2 linked regions of the Stegostoma tigrinum genome follow. The protein of the gene in region 1 purifies or fractionates together with the protein of each later gene. This does not show direct contact. Links are inferred from orthologs where the notes say so. Each region holds a gene or a part of one and is shown on either strand. Other genes may lie near its edges. The genes, in order: katanin p60 ATPase-containing subunit A1-like and katnbl1.

The links.
Region 2: the proteins of katanin p60 ATPase-containing subunit A1-like (region 1) and katnbl1 purify together in Homo sapiens (affinity purification with mass spectrometry; 3 studies listed by BioGRID and IntAct, counting the BioPlex papers as one, with this or other methods). This does not show direct contact. The link is inferred for Stegostoma tigrinum from reciprocal best matches to the Homo sapiens genes KATNA1 and KATNBL1.

The regions. Positions count from the first base shown.
Region 1 is NC_081357.1:93,794,872-93,805,321, reverse strand, and holds the start of katanin p60 ATPase-containing subunit A1-like, read right to left. Parts: upstream 4,737-10,450; 5' UTR 4,621-4,736; coding exon 4,612-4,620; intron 1-4,611. Other genes in the region: ppil4 (peptidyl-prolyl cis-trans isomerase-like 4), read left to right, coding at 4,881-4,950, 5,929-5,996, 8,443-8,507. UniProt on the Homo sapiens protein: Catalytic subunit of a complex which severs microtubules in an ATP-dependent manner. Microtubule severing may promote rapid reorganization of cellular microtubule arrays and the release of microtubules from the centrosome following nucleation.
Region 2 is NC_081363.1:67,764,325-67,774,774, reverse strand, and holds the start of katnbl1 (KATNB1-like protein 1), read left to right. Parts: upstream 1-3,477; 5' UTR 3,478-3,716; intron 3,717-10,450.

The sequences.
Region 1 (10,450 bases):
AAAAATACAAAATGAAAACAGTCTTATTTCTGAATTATTGCGTTGTTAAAATATGCCTAAAACAATTTTGTCAGTAGTCAGCTTTAAAATTTAAGATCTGTATAATTAAGATAATTCTTTTGACACTTTCTTTACATTATAAAATCAATTTTGAAAGCACATTCAGATTAAGTTAGCATCTCAGCTGTATAAGAAACACAATGGTCACAACCATACAACTGGTTTGTTGAACCACATACAATACCTGTAATCATAGTGCAGCTATACAACTGAACAGCTTTATTAATAGCATAATAATTTTTCATTAAAATAGTAATCTGAAACCATTTTAAATCATGAAATACAATATGGTCATGGCCCACATCAATTCCAGTCTTCCAACCTGCCTCAATCCTCTACAATTTGCCAACTGACAATGCCATATCCCTAGCCCTGCACTCACCCTGGAACATCTGGACAACAAAGACACCTACATCAGACTCCTGCTTGTTGACTGCAGCTCTGCCTTCAACACCATTATTCGTTTGCAATGGATCTCAAAACTGTGTGGCCTTAATCTTGGCTCTGTCCTCCGCAACTGGGTCCTCAGCTTTCTGACCCATAGTGAGGATAGGTAACTGCACCTTCTCCACAATAACACAAAACTGGAGACCCCGTAAAGACTGCCCTCAGACCCCTACTGAACTCCCTGTACACCTACGACTGCATTGCCAAACTCCAAACAAATGCCATCAACAAAGTTTGCTGACAGATATTTAATAACGAGTCAAAATACAGAAGGGAGGTAGAAAGCTTGGTGATGTGGTGCAATGAAAACAACCTGTCTCTCAACACTGGCAAAGCTAAGGAACTGATCATCAACTTCAGAAAGAAAGGAGAACACGTCTCCACCTACATAAATGGAATTGAGGTTGAGATAGTGAAGAGCATCAAGTTCCTCAGAGTGATGATAATTGACAACCTGCCCTGGACTTCCCACGTAAACACAACAGTCAAGAAGACACAGCGCGTCTTCTTTCTCAGGTGGCTCAGGAAATTTGGCATGTCCTTCATCAACTTCTACAGATGCACCACAGAAAGCATACTATCCAGGTACATAACAGCCTGATATAGCAACTGCTCTGCCCAGCACTAAGAAACTACAGAAGGTGGCGTGCATAGCCCATGCCATCTCAGAAGCTAGCCTTCCATCCATGGGCTCTATTAATATGGTTCACTGCAGCTGAAAGGCAGCCATCATAAAAGACTCATCGTACCCTGGTAATGACCTCTACAACCTGTTCCATCAGGCACAAGATACAGAAGCCTGAACACATGCATGAGCAGGTTCAGGATCAGCTTCTTTTCAGCCATTATCAGACTGCTGAATGAACTCTAGCCTCAGATGATGTAACCTGCAATATAATCTGTATGCCTCGGTCTTCTTGATCTGTACGCCTCGGACTTCTTGATCTGTACATCCTGAGCTAGCTGTGATCTGCCTGTCCTGCTCGTAAACAAAGCTTTTCATTGTATTTTGGTGCACATGACAATCAATTTATGATTAGCCTTTTACCCCCACAATAAAATCACAGCTCCCATTTTTCTTGACTCGATTTTGTTTTCAAATAAGATTTTTCCATCAGTGTAATTCAACTGAAAATGGAAGCTAAAAATTGAATATTTATGAGCTTTAGGGCTATGGGTCAAGAGTTGGAAAATGGAATAGTGTACTCAGATCTTTGTTGACTGGTGTCAGACCCTGGCCCAGAATACATGTACAAGGTCCCAAAACGTGGCTTCAGCTCTTGTTTTGCTGATTGGTATTTGCTACCAGAAAGCTAAGGTGGTAAAGAAAATCAGTATATCAGTGAATCACACTTTTGTCACAATATTACACAGTGATTTTTAAACTAAGATCCGTAAAAAAGTGACAACAGTTTTCTCGTCATGGCCAACATTCCAGATGGGTAACTGTCTAGTGCAGGATAATCAAGAGTAAATGAATGAGCAATGGCTGAAGAAGGACTTGGCGTGAGCGAAGAGGCAGCAACAGAGTGCACTCACTATATTTACAGGGCTGAGCCGAATAGCTGTTTCACCCGACAGGGCAGTAGGCTTGGAGAAGCATTGAGAATGGCACAAAGTCAGCAGGTAGACTGAAGCTGCCAGGTGAAATCAGCTTTGTTTCAGAGTATTCTTAAACAAACAAAAAAAATCCTTTAAATATTATATACTTAAACAAGAAGAACTAAAATAGAAATTTAACCAGAGCATCAATTTCCCTAAAAGATCTAAGTCAGATTTGTGTGGAATGATACGAGAGTCATTGTCAAACATAAGGCCAAGGATACACAAAACTGCAGTGAGATGCAGATATATCAATGTTGCTGATGACCATAGTAAATACAGTACTGTACGTTTTCTTAAAAACATCATAAAACCTTTACAAGGTAAATGATAAGGTATTATCATTTACGTGAAGAATTCGCAATTTTAATCCATCCAAGATATTTAAAAACCAGGAACAAAAACAAAGTTGCTGGAAAAGCTCAGCACATCTGGCAGCATCTGTGGAGGAGACATTAACCTGAAATGTTAACTGTTTTCTCCTCCACCAGAGCTTCTCCTGCCAGAGCTTTTCCAGCAATAGTAGGAACTGCCAATGCTGGAGAATCTGAGATAACCTGGTGTGAAGCTGGTTTAACACAGCAGGCCAAGCAGCATCAGAGAAGCAGGAAGCCTGATGTTTCAGGCCTAGACCTTTCTTCAGAAATATTGAGAGATATAAAATGAGAATCTCTTCCCCATGGCAGACGTGTCAAAGGCTAAACGGCACAAGTTCAATGTGGAGAGCAAGTGGTTTAGAGGAGATATGACAAAATGTTTTCAGCCAGTGGGTGGTAGATATACAAAACATGCTGCCTGACTCTTGCAACACTTTAGAAGCATCTGGATGAGTACTTGAAACATTAGGGTACAGTAGGATATGGACCAAGTGCAGGTAAATTGGATTTGCATAGTTTGGCCAGCACAGATGTGGCAGGCCCATTTACCTCCTCCCTCACCAGTATCCAAGGGCCCAAACATGCCTTCCAAGTGAAGTAACACTTGATCTGCACTTTGCAGAATTTGGTCAACTGCATTCACTGCTCACAATGTGGTCTCCTCTACATTGGGGAAACAAACGGTAGACTGGGTGACCGCGTCACAGGACATCTACGCTCTGCTTGCAAAAAGACCCTGAGCTTCCAGTTGCCTGCAACGTTAACACACTACCCTGTTCCCTGGCCAACATGTCTCAAGCTTGCTCTAGTGTTCCAGTGAAGCTCAGCACAAGCTAGAAGGACAACTCATTTTTCGCTTGTGGACTCTGCAGCTCTCCAGACTCAATAGAATTTGATAATTTTAGGGCCCGAATCTCCCATGTCCTAGATCCCAACCCCACACACCAGTCCTCGTTATCACATAGCTTGCCATCAGACACCACCTATTGTTCATCACTAATAGTTCCTATTAACTGCTATTCACCTAATCGTTATCAACTCCTTTGTCTATCCAAATGCTGTTCTCTCTCTGGGCTCCATCCTTCATCCTTTCGTTCACTCTACCCCATCCCTCTCTCTCACTGATGTCAGGTTAACAAGTCTGTGGTTTTTTGTTTTCTCTCCATCTAATTTAAATAGCAAGATTACATTTGCTATCTTCCAAACTGCAGAATCTATTGAATTTTGGAAAACCAGTAATAACTCCATCATCTCTTCAGCCACCACTTTCAAAACTTGGAGACGTGGTTCATAGGGCCAGGGTAATTCACCGACTTTCAGTCCCATGTAACACATTCAGCATTTGATACGTGAAGTCACTACTCAAAGCCACGAATATTCTCTCGCTCAGTTCGGGGAGATTTTTTTTGCTTCATTTCCTCGTTTCAACGTTTTCCTCATGGCGGCAGCCACACACGTTTGCTGTTTTGCTACTTGTATTAAACTACACAACTTTGATGAAAGGTCAGCGAACCGAAAGGTTAACTCTCGTTTATGTTGGCTCATGATATTGTCTGACCCGTTAAGTGTTTTAGTATTTTTTTGTCTCATGTACCAGGAAGGCAGCAAGGACTGAGTCAGTGAGAAACAAACAAGAGGACATTCTGGAGGGGTCGTTGCACCCGAAATGTTAACTCTGCTTCCGCTCGACATATGCTGCTACACCTGTCGAGTTTTTCCCCAATAGTTTCTGGTTTTGTTTCTGATTTCTAACAACCGCAGTTCTTGGGTTTTGTGTTGTTTTTAAGCAACAGTTCGGAATGGGGTCAATCATCCCGGCCTGTTTGGAGCAAATACTGAAACACAGCCACGGCACTGATACAGAAGTGGACGGTGTCACTTACCCTCCATTGAAAAAAGTATCATGCAGAAATTTAAGTAAAACAAAAACTCTGTGGTGTTACAAACGAGATAAAATGTAGAGTACGAACTAGAGGGGAAGGGGGGGGGGATTGCAAGTGGAACCGAAGTTGTCCAGCATGCCTAACTTTTCCGGGTTCAGGTATCACAGCATTTGTTTATTTTATAACAGGGTAATGGAATATAGCGGTTGTAACCTTGACCCAATTAAACTATGCTGAAGTACCTGTTGCATCCAAGTACAGACGTACGAAACCGGTATACCGATCAACACGATAAGTAACCGCCGCCTAGAAACTCCTGTAGGTGACACGGATAACGATGGGGAGGAATGGACCTGGTGACGGCAGCGCAGGCGCATAGGACATGGACCCGGGTGACGGCAGCGCAGGCGCAAAGTATTGTGCCGCTTTCTCCGGCTGTGGTATATAGCTCTGAGCCGCGTCAGGTGACGCGATTCACCTGGCAGCCATTTCGCGACGTTGTTAAGACAAAATGGCGGTGCTGCTCGAAACGACTCTGGGAGATTTGGTGATCGATTTATATACGGAGGAGAGGCCGAGGGGTTAGTGGTAATTCGAAGAGGCAGTTCTCAGTACACATTCCATTCTATGGTTAGGCTTGTTCACATTTTTTGAACAAAAAAAAGTTCTGTAACGGGAGATGGAGAAGCCTCAGCGGCCTAGCTTTACATATTTTCAGCAGTATTATCCAACATCTGAAGACATCTCAAAACATTGCACCGTGGATTCAGTACTTAACTGTAGTCACTGTTCTATTTTAAGCAAAAACTCCTACAAGTATCGGTATGGTAATGACCAGATAATTTTAGTGATATTAACTGACAAATATTTTGCTACAGAGGAGAACACCCCTATTCAAAACAGTGGCCACTTTTGCATTCACCTGAAGGGTAGTGAGGGACTCGATTTGAGACAAGTACCGTGTTGCAGTATTAGTTTGGATGAGTGAGACTTGAACTATCCGTCCTGAAGAGGGATAGTAACCGAAATGTTGACTGCTCCTTTCCTCTAGATGCTGCCTTTCTTGCTCTGTTCGTCCAGCCTCCTGTTTGCTACCTTGGACGCGCAATTTCCTGACTCCCAGGCGCAAGAGACCCAGAATTATAGTTTTGTTTTAACAATGCACTGGCGATGTAAAGATGAAACTGTCCCAAAACATTTCACACTGGTAAAGCACGTTAAAGCGGAAATTAAGGCACTTTATTTCTTTGAAGCTTGATGCAGTTTAAAAGTAGAACTTTTGAGATTTGTGTAGTGTTTCACATGTGTAGAATTTGCCTCAGTGGCGGGGAGACGATTTAAAAAACGTCAATACCTAGCAAGAAAACGGAGTTCTGAAAAAGCAAGAAGGCATTTGAAACAAGGAGGGAGGTTGAGGAATGTGAAGAAACCAAAGAACAGTTATGTTGGTGAAAGATTGTTCACAATTAATAGATCAAAATTTCTGAAATATCAATAATTTCCTAATGATATCCTATTTGTTGTGAAATAATTTTGAGCTTAATTTTTTTTGTTTGTAGCCTGCTTGAATTTTCTGAAGCTTTGTAAGATCAAGTATTATAATTACTGCCTCATCCACAATGTTCAGGTGAGTTTCTATTAGCTTTTACAATCTTTAAACCTTGTAAATTTTCCCAGAAATGTTCTTCATAAATTGTTTGATCTGGTATTTTGTAATGTGTGTTATTTATTATTAACAACACAGAACTAGACTGTTTTGCATGTTAGCTTTTTTTAAAAATCCAAGGATCTCGTCACCCTTCAGAAAATGAGCTGTTTTCTTGAATCACTGTAGTCCGTATTGTGTCAGTAGTCCCATGAGAAAGAGTGTTCCAGGATTTTGACCCAGCATCACTCGAGGACCAATGGCACCCAAGTCAGTAGCTTGGAGGGGAACTTACAACTGGTGGTGAGAGATGGTAGGAACTGCAGATGCTGGAGAGTCTGAGATAAGGTGTAAAGCTGGATGAACACAGCAGGTCAAGCAGCATCATAGGAGCAGGAAGGCTGAATTTCTGAAGAAGGGTCTAGGCCTGAAATGTCAGCCTTCCTGCTCCTTTGCTGCTTGGCCTGCTGTGTTCATCCAGCTCTACACCGTGTTATCTCTTATTACAGCTGGTGGTGTTCCCAGGTATATTGTCCATATCCTATTAGATGGTAATGATTGTTGGTTTGGAAGGTGCTGTGAAGTTCTGCAGCGTATATTGTAGATGCTGCTATTGAGCATCAATGGTGAAGGGAGTGAATATTTGTGGATATGGTGCCAATGAAGTAGGCTGCTTTGTCCTGGATTGTGTTAACCTTTTTGAGCATGGTTGGAGGTACACTTATCCAGGTGAGAGGGTAGTAAACCATCACACTTTTGACTTGTGCTTTGAGGAATCAGGAGGTGTGTAACTTGCTGCAGAATTCTGAGCCTCTGACCTCCTTTGCAGCCACAGCATTTGTATAGCTAGTTCAGTTCAGTGTCTGGTCAATGGTAATTCCCCAGAGGTGTTGATATTTGGGGGTTCAGCAATTATAATGCTGGGAATGGTTAGATTCTCTCTCTGTAATTGGAAATGGTTATTGCAAGGGACGTGTGTGGTGCAAGTGTTGTTTTGATGCGGAGATGCTGTTGTTGTGCTAGGGTATACACTGTTTTCAGGGCATAGCCCCTTTGTCAGGTGCAGTGACAGAGAAGAGCACACAAACACATTGCGTGGAGTGTCGGATAATTCTTTCTCGGTGGCTAAGAGTGTTATGAGTGAAGTGTCAACAGGTGAATAACCAGTGAAGAGATGACCTGTGATCCAATTAAATGAGGCAGAGAGATAATCACAAAAAATTAAAACTGTGTCTGTGTGCTCTTCTCTGTCCCTGCACCTAACAAAGGGGCTGTGCTCTGAAAGGTTATAATTTCAAATAAACCTGTTGGACTGTAACCTGGTGTCATGTGATTTCTGACAAATGTTGTTTGCCATTTGTCAGCCCAAATCTGGATAATATAACCAAGTTGGACAATAATTGCTGATCCACCCAGTAATGCCCACATCCCATGAATAAAGTCAAATGCTAATGTGCTGTACTATCCGGTCCTCTCTACTCTTTTTTGATATTCAATATTGCTGTATTTGGAGGTGAACTGCTTATAATTTTAGTAAAGCCCAAATGGATTTGTGAACCGTGGTGAGTGTGCCACGTATTTATGGAATGTTCACTTGAACTGTGGAGAATAATTAAGATTTCACAGATTTAAATTTTCTTAGTCCATGGTCAGTAACAGCAAAGCCCTCCTTCACATCTTGGTCACCGACCCTTCCTCACCTCGTACCATCCGCTCCCATTCTTACTTGATCCTCACACCCTGTCTTACCTCACCAGTCCTTGCCTTTTACAGCTTCCTCTCCAACCCGACCCATTCCATTCCATCCCGTCCCCTTCCACCTGCCCCCTGCCCACTCGTTATATCCTGAATACCCCCCACCTACTCCATGTCGTCCACTCCATTCCATTTCCTCCAGCCTGTCCCCACCCATCCACTCCTACCCATTACAGCTCGCTCCCCCCACTTCCAGCCCATCTCACCGCCTGACAGGTCTAGCCCATCCGCCTCCTGCTCATTGCTCCCACCCATTCCATCATGTCCCCTCTCTCGCCTGTTCCACCCTGTCTCCTACTACTCATTCTTCCCCCCCGTCGCCCATCCATCCCTCCTGCCCACCCTTCTATCCTATTTGACCTGAACCCAGTCCCTCCCAACCCCACCCACCATCCCCTCTCTCTTTTATCCCGTTCCCGTCTCCTGTAATACCCCTTCCATCTTCCCTTTTTCACACTACCACCCCTTCCCCCTCACATCCTTTCCACTCCTCCTCCCCCACACCCCCTTTCCATCCCCTCTCTCACACTTCCTTTTTCCATACCTCTCTCTTAGATCCTCTTCCTGTCCCCTAATTTGACAGGTGAAACTTAATGCAAGAATTAAAACTTCAGTGCCTGTGTACACATCTGGTCATTTGTCATTTATTCAATTCTAATGTGTTTTGTAACAGAGGGACTTTATTATACAGACCGGTGATCCAACTGGCAGTGGTCGTGGAGGAGAATCCATTTTCTGGTTGGTGCCTTTCAAATATTTTAATGAAGTCAATAGCTGAACCATATTTCAGATTCTAATCAGAATTCTGCTAAATGATACCTTTCGCATTTCCTGCTGTTGAAGTCCAGTAAAGTTTCAGAAGCTGAGTTTGTAAACTTAAGTGAGGATCACAGCTGGGCTACTGGTAGCACTATTGCTACTGATTGATTCTGCATTCAAGTGAATCCTTGAGTGCCTATTGCCAGGCACGCTAGTGCAGTATTAAGGAAGAATACCATTTGTTTGAGATATTGTTTTTCAAGTGACAAGTTAATTTCTGTTTCCCTGTGTTGGTGGCCACAAAAAGCTGCCATGTCACTATTGGAAGACCAGTCAAGTTCTTTTGGTTTCCTGCCCAACACTCATCTGTCAGACAACATAGAAATGTTTTTATTGCTTCTTTATCGTAATGCCCAAGAGTTTCACAAGAGTATCAGAATAAAATCAAATTGTCACTGTCGCTGGAATTTATGGGACCTGCACTGTGCACAAATTGGCTAGCACATAACTGTACTGACTACACTTCAACAATGGACTACCAGTGAATAAAAATTCGAAGTGGGAAGTGTGACTGAGGTTGCTTTGTTCGCTACCCTGACTTCAGTAAACACTTTAAAGTGGAGGTTGATATTAGTAGAGATAGTAGGAACTGCACATGCTGGAGAATCTGAGATAACAAGGTGTAGAGCTGGATGAACACAGCAGGCCAAGCAGCATCGGAGGAGCAGGAAGGCTGATGTTTTGGGCCTAGATCCTTCTTCAGAAATGGGGGAGGGGAAGGGCATTCTGAAATAAATAGGGAGAGGCTGATAGAAGATGGATAGAGCAGAAGATAGGTGTAGAGGAGACAGACAGGTCAAAGAGGCGGGGATGGAGCCAATAAATGTGAGTGTAGGTGGGGAGTTTCGGAGGAGATAGGTCAGTCCAAGGAGGATGGACAGGTCAAGGAGGTAGGATGAGGTTAGGAGGTAGGAAATGGGGGTGGGGCTTGAAGTGAGAGAAAGGGATAGATGGGAGGAAGGACAGGTTATGGAGGCGGGGACAAGCTGGCTTTGGGATGCGGATGTTAGTACTTAGGGGTGGTCTTGTTGCAAGAAGATGAATCAGGCATAGAGAAATTTTGCATGTTCAGGAATGCACAAAAACTGATTTCCAATTTTCTCTGCTTTTTCCCCCCATTTGCCTTGGCACTTTATCAATTACATCAAGTTATCACAATCATTTACCCTTGTACAAAGGATGTCTTTCTGTCCAGTGAATGTTATGTCAAATCCGAGGGCCATACAGGTAGCTGGTGCCTTTTTTGCCAGGATTCAAGGCTGAACATTGATTGCTTGTATTCATGTAGTACGAGAGAACCAGATTGATTGGATTATGTTTGATATGTTGACCAAACGCTGCTTTGTTTGGATGAAGTCGTCATAACACTCGGGGTTATTAGCTTCAGCTTCTTTGTTGGCTGGCCGTGCTAACTTGCCTAACTCCAGACCAGCTGGTTGAGCTTCAATTAACGACTTAATGAGTTATCACCATCTTTAAAGAAAGTTTGGATACCTTAATGATAATGGGAACTGCAGATGCTGAAGAGTCCAAGATAATAAAATGTGAGGCTGGATGAACACAGCAGGCCAAGCAGCATCTCAGGAGCACAAAAGCTGACGTTTCGGGCCTAGACCCTTCATCAGAGAGGGGGATGGGGTGAGGGTTCTGGAATAAATAGGGAGAGAGGGGAAGGCAGACCGAAGATGGAGAGAAAAGAAGATAGGTGGAGAGAGTATAGGTGGGGCCTCCTGCAGTGCCACAATGATGCCACCCGAAGGTTGCAGGAACAGCAACTCATATTCCGCTTGGGAACCCTGCAGCCTAATGGTATCAATGTGGACTTCTCGAGCTTCAAAATCTCCCCTTCCCCCACCGCATCC
Region 2 (10,450 bases), on another chromosome or scaffold:
TATACAGGACAGACAGCAAAGTGGAGCTGACACCAAAAACAAAGCAGTTGTAATTTATTGAATGGCAAAAAAGTTTGAGGAGCCAAATGGTCCTCTTCCATTCCTGGGCCCTATGTCCGTACAGCTTCTATTCTTCACTGTGTAAACTAATGAAGGGAATCAGTCCATGGCTAAAGCCTGTGAGATGTGGAACGACTGAGAACTTTCTGGAAAGCTCACCTCAGATGCTGGACGTCAATCTGTTGCACTTGCTCTGGGGGTCGGGAATAACGTGACCTGACTTTTCAGCAGTGGGATGATTTGAATGATTTGCATTTGAGAAATTTTCAGACCCACGTGAACATTGACCTTTCTGTCATGCTCTTCACCCCAGTGTCTTGGATGTCTTCAAGCCACTTCCGGCCTCACATGATAGGATTGGTACTGACGGAGAAAGACAGATGAAGGGTGTACCTTTAAGGGATCACTTACAGTGGGTAGAAACAAAAGTGTTTTTTTGATCCTGGAGAATTTCTAATCTTTGAAATTGTCTTTACCAGAGAGCAGTGGAGGCTGGGTCAATGATTATGTGCACGGCTGAGTTAGAGGTTTATTTTCAATTCATTCATGAGGGCATTGCTGGACAGACCAGCATTCATTGTTCATTCCTAATTGCTCACACAGCAGTTAAGAGTCAACTACATCGCTGCACGTCTGGAGTCACACGTAGGCCAGACAAGATAAGGATGGCAGTTTCCTTCCCTAAAGGGCATTAGTGAACCAGATGGGTTTTTCCCACAATCGATAATGGATTCAGGATCCTCATTAGACTCTTTAAATGAGATATTGAACTTGAATTCCACCATCTGCTGTGATGGAATTTGAGCCCGGGTCCCCAGATCACTACCTGGTTTTGATCCATGTGAGAGTCAGAGGTTATGGCCAAATTTCAAGAAAGTACAGGTAAGGCCACAGTCAGAGTAGACATGATTTTATTGATTGGTAGAGCAGATTTGATCAGCCAAATGGCTGAATCATGTTCCAGTTCCTTATGCTGTTGTAGCTTACTGTAGCAAGATTTCAATATCTTCTCGATCACATGCTTTTAAGTTACTGTCAACATTTAAAGGCATAGGGATGCTCAGACCTCTCTCTCCTGGGTTGCATGCATTGGTTGTCTCTGGTAAAGTTCATTCAGGTACAGGCAATTCCTGTGCATTTCTGAAATGGACTGCCTCTCTCACATTGGAGTGAAAAGGAAACAGAAAATTAGCTCCAGATTCTATCCTTAATGTAGTATTTTTTTAAAATTCATTCATGGGATGTGGAAATTGTTCTTTCGTCAACACTTAGTTCTAATCCCTGGTGGCCTTTGAAAAGGTGGTGGTGAGTTGCCTTCTTGAACTGTTGCTGTTTGGTTTGGGGGTTAGGCTGTCTCCTAGACTTCTGCAGGGTACTGCACCAGAAATGTGTAGCTGTGGAGTTTAGCCTCTGCACCAGGCCCTGTGGTCACTGGCATCACTATCAGCCAGGTCCAAGACAGACAACCCAGGTATGTGGCAGTGAAGTGCAAGATGCTGTATGTCTCACGTTTGGGGTCAGTTTGGGTAGGTTCAGAGGAGCTTGACAGCTACCAGAACTAGGACACGGCTCAGTGAATGATAAAGGGTACTTTTATCATCCTGATATTTGTTGGGAGTAGGGGATGGGGTAGTGTGGATAGTAGCACGGCGGCTGTATTGTGGAGCTCGGCCACAGTGGGAGGTAGGGTTGCCATATCCCCTGGGTTGAAGTCTCCAAGAATTAAAGCTTAACTTCCTGAACACTGCCAGGCAGTGGAAAACATTACTGTGGCTTTAAGAACTGATCTTTCCTCTCTTAACATTGGTATATTAACGATAGAAATATTGGGAAAGGGAAAAACAGGCCTGTACGTGTGGGATGGTTAGAGGACACTCCAGGAATGGGAAAGTTAGCAGTCCTGGTTAGAGGAACAGCCAGATGTTGATATTGCATTTGAGAAGGTGAGTGAACTGCTGATTCTCTGGGGGCCTGATGCTGCAGGAGTGAATCAGCTGAAATGGAAAGAGCTAAGGATTGGGAGCCGCAGAGAGCAACCAAGGCCCATAATCAATTCCTGGACAGCCAGTGAGAGGAACTTGAGGGAGAATCCAGAGGACAAGCATCGTCTGACCCGCAGTGAAATCTCCCTGAGACTGAACACAGCCTAGAGACCATTTGTGGATGATAGGGTAATCTGGCTGAAGTATTTGAAGGAAACTGAAAACAGTAGTGCAACAGCACATGTATTTGCAAGAATCTACAAATACAATGCAGATGTAATGTTGGTAAATGAGGGGTTATCACATGTGAGGTAGCAAAAACAGAAAATATTATTATCTGAATGGTGATAGATTTGGAAACAGGCTGGGGTGGGTGGGGGGGGGAAGCTGTGCAATGATACCTGGGTAAATACATCAGTTGCTGAAAGTACACATGCAGGTGCAGCAGGAAATGAAAAAGGCAAATGGTATGTTGGATTCACAGCAAAATAATTCAAGTTACAGGAGCAGGAACAGACATGAGTTGCTTCAATTGTGTAGGGTCTTGGTGAGATTACTCCTGGAGTATTGTGAGCAGTTGTGGTCTCCTTATCTGAAAAAGGATGCTCTGGCTATGGGATGCTACTGCAATAAAAGTTCACCAGGCAGATTCTTGGGATAATGCGTTTGACATTGAAGGAGGACGGCATCAGTTAACCCTATATTCACTGGCAATCAGAACAATCTGCCCCGGCGTTCTCAAGGCCCAGTTCTCTTTCACTCCAACACAGACCTGATTTGCCTTTATCCACCTTCCCCTGCATTCCTGAATACCCAGTTCCTCACCAGTGGATCAGACTCCCCTGCCTGGGGACCCAACAAACAGCCCTCAGAACAGACCTATTATTGACTTCCCACTGACCTTGTGTAACAACTACATCACTTGCTTGGCCCCTTTGCCACCTTGCTCCTTACCCCCTACTTACTTGGCATACTAAACATCTGGCACCCTACTTACTTGCCATCCTACCCCCCACCCCTTCCTATTTGACATTCCACATCACTTCGCAGCCTACTTCACCCACCTCTCTACTGCATCACGCACCAACAGCGTCCTACACCATACCCACTTGACACCTTAACTTCACACGGGAAGTACTTGATCTTTGACATCAGCTCTCAAAGTGACTGTGATTGTGGGCTTTTCAATGCCAAATTACATCTTACTGTTGTGAAATGTGGGCATGGAATTCCTTTTCCTGGGCGAGACAGCTACTCCTCAGTAAATTCCGCTCACACGTTTTCCAAGAGCTTGTCCCACAATTACACCACTTGTTTTGCTGACTGTTATCATTTAAACAGCAGGAACGCTCCTATCAGGAGTTGGGGTAGGCGTTGCATTGGCCTCGTGCATTCTTAACGCTCCGGCTGGGAGGACTCTGCCATCCCGGCATGCCGTGGGCCCGAGTTGGCACGGTCCTCCGGCTGGGATCACACAGCCGTCCCGGCATGCCGTGGGCCCAGTCCTCCGGTTGGGAGGTTTCAGCCGTCCCGGCATGCTGAGGGCCTGTTTTGAATGGCGAAGGTTCAGGGAAAGGGAGAGAAGACCGGTGCGGCCTGTTAGCGCCTGAAAGGGGAGAGGAGGGGCAAATTCTAATCGCTTGCACTCCCACTGAAATGTTGTAAAATGTCCTGGTAAGTGGCCCCCTTGCTGTCCGTGGTGGCAGGAGACTCGGCTCGGGGCCTCACACTTGGACAGTTTCTGCTGGTTGGGACTTTGGGGTGGGGTGGATTGACATTAATTTTAAAAAGAGGGCTGTGTTTCTCTGCAATTCAAAATTATTTGCTAAGAAGCTCTTAAACCAGTTCCAACTAACTGCCCGCGTACTCGTAATCAATGCAAGACAACTCGTCGTTAACAATTAAAACTCAAACCACGACCTTTTATGTGACTTTATGGTTAATTTTATAAATTCTGAAAACGCTTGTTTGGTTTCAAAAATTGGGGATGGGACTCTTCATCTCGTTTTTATCCTGAAAGACGCGACGGATCTTATTGGAAAATCTAGCTTCGTTTGGATCCATTTTGTTTGCCTGGCTAGGAGTGGCATGAAGGGAAATCTGTTTAAAAAGGGTAAAGTTGTCAAAACCGCATTTTGTGGAATTGGTTGGCAGGCAGATTTTTACTGTATGACAACTGGTGATTTATTTATAGCTGCTGCGAATGTTAACTTGCAAAGCTACCTTACTATTTGAACAAGCAAATCTGTTCAGTTTTTGAACCTGGCCTCGTTTTAAGTGTGAAGTTGTTACTTCCTCGGAATCCTGTTTTGTGGGATGCCTTGAGTTTTGAATGATGTGAATGGACAGCACTGAATGGTGAGACCTGCCGATAATGGTGGCTAAATAAACCTACTGTATCAATAGAATGTTCTGTACCATAAGACTATGAAGCAGATTCTATGATTTTTCATTCTTTTTTTTTCAAAACACTTGATAAAAGAGGATTAGGATTTCTAAAAACTTTTTATTTTACTTGGGACATTTGTGAATGTACCTGGTAGAAAATCACAGCATGGTTCAGATTGGTGATATTGTTGGAATTATAGCAAAAAATATTCATGCTGATCAAGACTGTCAAAAATATTGAATGGTCATTAATCCCATTGAAATGTTATACAGTTGTACAACAATATTTCATTTGTCTGCTTCAGAGTCTCATTGAGCTTTTTTGCATTAACATTTTATAGGAGAGAGTTATTTAAATTCTTCCTGTACCTGTGATTTCTAAACATCAGGAAGGCAACATCTCCAAACCACTTCATTTATGGCCAAGTAATATCAATAAACAAAGTGTTTGTGTAGATGTAAATTAATTATTACTTGTCACTAATAAGTGACATTGCATTAATGAACTTTAATACTTGAACTGCTGTCAGGTCTAGACAGTGAGTTTTAAGAGAGGGTTTCCTGATTTTTAATGTCTTCCACTGACTTGAGCACATCTTGAGCTACACTGACATCATTCGCAATAATGTGAAAAGAACACACAAAACCTAACCTTGTATGTAATACTATTTAAAATGATGTCTGAATCCTGAGTTCTTGTAACATCTTCCTAATGGTTAAAGAAATAAATTCATACCACATTGTAATTACTGTAATTGAAAATTGCAGATGTTCCAAGATGATTGCAATATTATTGATTTTAAATTCTCTTAATGTTTTTAAGAATCCTTTCTTAACCCCTGTTTTGTTTGAATCATTATGTTAACTTCAAGAGTAATTTAAAAACTGGGGAATGTACTAAGTGTACAATAAAGCAGGATTCAGAGCTTGGCTACATACTACTATGTGACAAATTTCCACTTTAAGATCTTTTTCAGTATGCTATTTTTTTGGTTTCTCTTTCCTGGTTTTGAGTGTTTCGCATCTGTTCAATTGTTTTACTAGATACAGTAGTTCTTAATGCAAATCAAAATACTGTCATTTCTGGTAATACTCTGGTCTCACAACAGACCAGTATCCGGGAGAAGTCATTACAAGCGATACACTATGACCCAGGAAGAAAAATGGAGAGGGAAAGAATGATGGAATGGGAGAAAACCAAAAAAAAAGTTTAAATTATACATTCCTAAATTCTTAAATATTTAGGACCTTAAGCAATGTGCCTTATTACTGACAGTAGTTAATTGTCAGTATCGGGGAGCGTTTACAGTTATAAATAACACTTAGTATGCTGTTGACCTATAATGGACTTGATAAAAGACAAATTTTACTACATCTGTAAAGGGTCTTGGTAAAACCACATCTCTGAATATATTTCATATATAGTAGGAACTGACGATGCTGGAGAATCTGAGATTCCTGCTCCTCTGATGCTGCTTGGCCTGCTGTGTTCATCCAGCTTCACACCAAGGTATATGAAATATATACAGTTAGGTCTGTTTATTCGGAAGATATACAATTATGTTAGAAGCAATTCAGAGGTCCACTTGACTCATTTCGCAGAAGAAAGATTGAATAGATTGGGCTGTACCCATTGGAGTCTAGATGATTCAGAGATGATCTTATTGACACGATACTGAGGGCAATTAATGAAGTGGATGCTGGGAGGATATTTCCTGATACGGGTGAAGCTAGTATTAGGGGGCCACAGTTTAAAACTAAGAGGACGCCCTTTTAAGTTCGGGGAAAATGTTTTTTCTGTTGGATGTGGAACACTCTTCTGGAGAAAGCAGTGGAGGCTTGCACTGAGGCTAGTCAAAGTGGGTTAAACAGATTTTAGATCAACAGTGCAATTGAGGATTATAGGAGCAGGCTGGAAAGTGGAGTTTAGGCCATAATCAGATCAGCGATGACCTTACTTAATAGTTGGGCATGTAGTTGCAGTACTGAAGCAGTGCAAGTTCAAATGCATTAATCAGGACAATATCCAGGCTTGGGCTGAAAAGTGGCAAGTAACTTTCATGCCATATAAATGCCAGGCAATAACCACCTAACCACCATCCCTTGAAGTTCAATCATTTTACCATTTACTGAATCCCCCACAGTCAATAAGCTTGGGGCTACCACTGACCAGAAACTCAACTGAACTGCCCACATAAACACAGTGGCTACAAGAGTAGGTCAGGATTGAGGCATACTGCAGCAAGTAACTGATCTCCTGACTCCCAAAGCCTGTCTACCATTTACACGGCACAAGTCAGGATGTGATGGAGAACTCCCACATGCGTGGATGAGTAGAACTCGAACAACATTCAAGAAATTTGATACCAAATGGAACACAGTGGCCAGCTTGATAGTTACCACATCCACTCCCTCCGTAACTAATGCATCTCTTAAATAGTACTGCTGCTCCTGAGCAGTACGGCAGGTTGCCAACGATCCTTGCCACCTTCTAAATCCACGACAGCTTCTGTCTGGAAGTACAAGGTCAGCAGATGGAGTTGTTGGTTTGGTGTCCCAAGCTGACTGGTTTTCATTCAGACATTTCATGTCACCCCCTTCTAGGTGACATCGTTGATGCTGTGTAGTCTCCTTTTTGAAGTTTTTTTTTCCCGGGTCCTTAATGATTGCTCAACATCCATCATTTCCTTGAATATAGGATCTCTTCCAGACTTGCTGGGACCAATTCCCAGGTGTTGACCTCCTTACTAGCCAAAGTCTGCCATCTGTTTAAACAAAATGCTGTTCGCAGGGCAGCTGTGCCTCTTCAAACCCATTGAATCAAGAATCAGCCTACAGTTAACCTCCAAGTCTGCCATCCCAAATAAGCAAAAAAGTTTGTTTAGTCTGTTCGTTTCCTTTTACCAGGCTGTTTCCCAAAGTCCACTCGTCATTAGTTCCAATCAAAGTTAGTAAAGTAATAGCAGTAAAAATAATGAAAAAGCAGAAAGGTTCCAATGTTGCAAAATTCTGGAACTACATTTAATTCCAATGTTCAGTCTAAAGTTGAACAACAACTTGTGCACGATCTGCATGAGAGCATTCGAACTTTTGAGTTGCTGCATGGCCACAGCGGGGATGAAGGTTTTAAAGCGGCTGCATACTTGATCAAATCACTTGAGTAATCTTTTGAAAAAACAAAGAGGCTCCGTTGTTTGGCATGCCTAAATTAGCTTTAGGCAAATTTTTTTAAGGTAATTGTTCATAAACTTTTTTTTTGTTTTTGTTAACCTATTTTTCTAATCAACCTGTTCAGAGATGTTATTATACACCTCTGCTGCAGGTGGGATTTGTGGTTCGGAGATAGGGGCACCCAGTTGCATGGCAAGATTCATCCAGTGTTAAACTTACCTAATATGGTACCTTTTGAATATATTGTCAAGTATAGCAGACTGTTAAATTTATTGTCCTGTGATGCCACTGAGTAACAACTAAAATAAATGATGCAACATTGCAAGCAGAATTACTGTGCAAAATATGATAAGCTGTTGATGCATTTCTATAGGCCTTCATTTGTGGCTTATATGTATCAATAGTTCCTGAAATAACACCTGATAGTTTTGAAGGAAGCACTGTATGTTAATTAAAAAGGAAGTCTCAGGTGACACTGTTTAATTTGAGTTTAATTGGAGAGGAACTGCATATTCAAGAATAGTGATTGAGTATGTTTTTGATTTTAAAATCATAGATTTATATTATTTAAAAATCAAGGAAATCCAGATGCTGGAAATGTAAAACAAGTGTTGCAGAAACTCTGGCACCATCTGTGCAGAGAAAACAGAAATAAAGCGTTGAGTCCAGTGACACTTCGTCAGACCTGAAAATAGCTGGGATGTGGTGGAGGTTAAATAGAGCACCTGAAGATGAAACTGAGAAAGAGTGAAAAGGGATAGTCAAACAAAGAGATTACTCTTGGCCAACCAAGAGAAATTCTGGGTCAGGTGCTGATGAGACATGTAAATGGTTGAAACTGGCTGTACTGGGAGCAGCCCACACAGAACAGGATTTAAGGGTGTGAGGACAGGTCGTGAACATGGGTGGGTGGTTCTGAAATGTTGACATGGGAATATAGTGCTATATTGAAGTGGAAGGTGACCAGAAAGTCAGTCATTTTTACCACCAAAGTGATCACCCACTCTCCATTTCATCTTCCCAGTGTAAAGGAGGCCACATTGGAGGAATGAATACAGAGACTGGATTGAATGAAGAGCAGGCAAATCACTGCTTCACCTGGAACATGTATCTTGGATCTTGGGTCATTGGGAAATAAATGGACAAGTGCTGCATCTTCTATGATTGTATGGGCAGGTGCTGTACAGGTGTTGGGAGTGACTAAGGTGTCCTGGTGGGAATGGCCTCTGCAGAATGCTGACGGGAGAGAGGGAATATGTGTCCCATAGTGGAATCTCACTGGAGTTGGTGGAAACCAACTATGATACAGAGGCAACGTAGGCAGGTGAGAGGGGAACAAAATGCTGAGGGGAGTGCAGAAAATGAATAAGGCACACAAGGCAACACAGTGGTGGGGAACCCTTGACTGAGGAAAAGGGTGTTGTTTTTTTTTTTTGTTGGTTATAATTCAGGGCAATGGAACAGATGGAAAATTGGAAACCTGAGTGTGAGTGGGAGGAGGGGTGGAGCTGGTGTATTGTTATCTTGAGCATACAAATAGCAAACAGATGGACTAGAGGGCGTCTGAAACTGTTGAAAAGACTTAAATTTGTGCAGTGCTTTTCATACCAGCAGCTGTCTCAAAGTGCTTCAAAACATTTGGAGCCCTTTTTTAATATGGGGAACAACAACACCCATTTGTGCTTTGCCAATCCCACAGATTATATGATAACAACCAACTAATCTGAATTTGGCATGTTGATTGAGGGATAATTATTAGCTATTGGGAATAACTGCCCTGTTCCTCTTCAGAATAGTACCATGGGATCTTTTGCATGACCAGGTCAGGGGGCATGATTTGATGTCTCAACCAAAAATTGTAGTGCGTTAACTGCCAACTTCTTTACTTTTTATATTTCAACCTTGAAATGGCACTTGAACCCATAATCTTGTGACTCCGGCAGGAGCATTGCTGACTGAGCTGTAGCTGATGCTTATCTGGGAACAGCCAAGAATGTGGCCTGGAAATAACAAAGTTCAGGATATATGCTGAGCAGAAATTTGTAAAAAAGTCTGAAAGTGTTTTTACAATGAAATAAATTTCATAAAATCTGTCTGAACAAATATTACCAGCTCCTAATTTATCCATTTCAGCCTGGCTCCAAGCTTTGCAAGTCTACCTCCTTGAACGAAGTTCTGCATCTCCACTTTTATCAGTTCATCTGCCTGAATAAAGAACAATGGATTTCTTTTAAGATCTTCCCCTTCGTGCTCAGGACCTTCATCATCTTGCCCCATCTCACCATAATCACTTCCTTGAGCAATTAATTCACATAAGACTTGAGAGCAGAATTAGGTTATCCAGCCCACCATGTCTGCTACTTCAGTCAGATCCTGGCTGATCTGTTAATCCTGAACTGCACTTCCCTGCCATTCCCTATAACGTATGATTCCATTACTGATGTAAAATCTGTCTATCTCAGCCTACAGATTTAATGACCCAACCTCAACAACCTTCTGCAATAAAGAATTTCACAGATTCTCAACTCTCCAAGAGAAGAAATTCAACCTTCATTTTGTCTTAAATGTACAATGTGACAATACTACAACTTTAAGAGGTGTATTTTTGTCATTTTTTAAAAGATAAATGAAGAAAAATTGCGGCAGTTGGCGAAGGGTGGTCTCCTGAAAGTCAATAAAGTAAACAGCTTGTGAATTCTTGGGTTTTTTAAAGTTCGAACAATAAAAGCAGCCAGAATGGATGGGGTCAAGCTCCTACAGAACCAGGATTTTTAGTCGTAGCTTGCTTCAGTTGCTCGGGGTCTTGAAACAAGATGTGGAAGCTCTTTAATTCTGTGTTACAGCTAAAA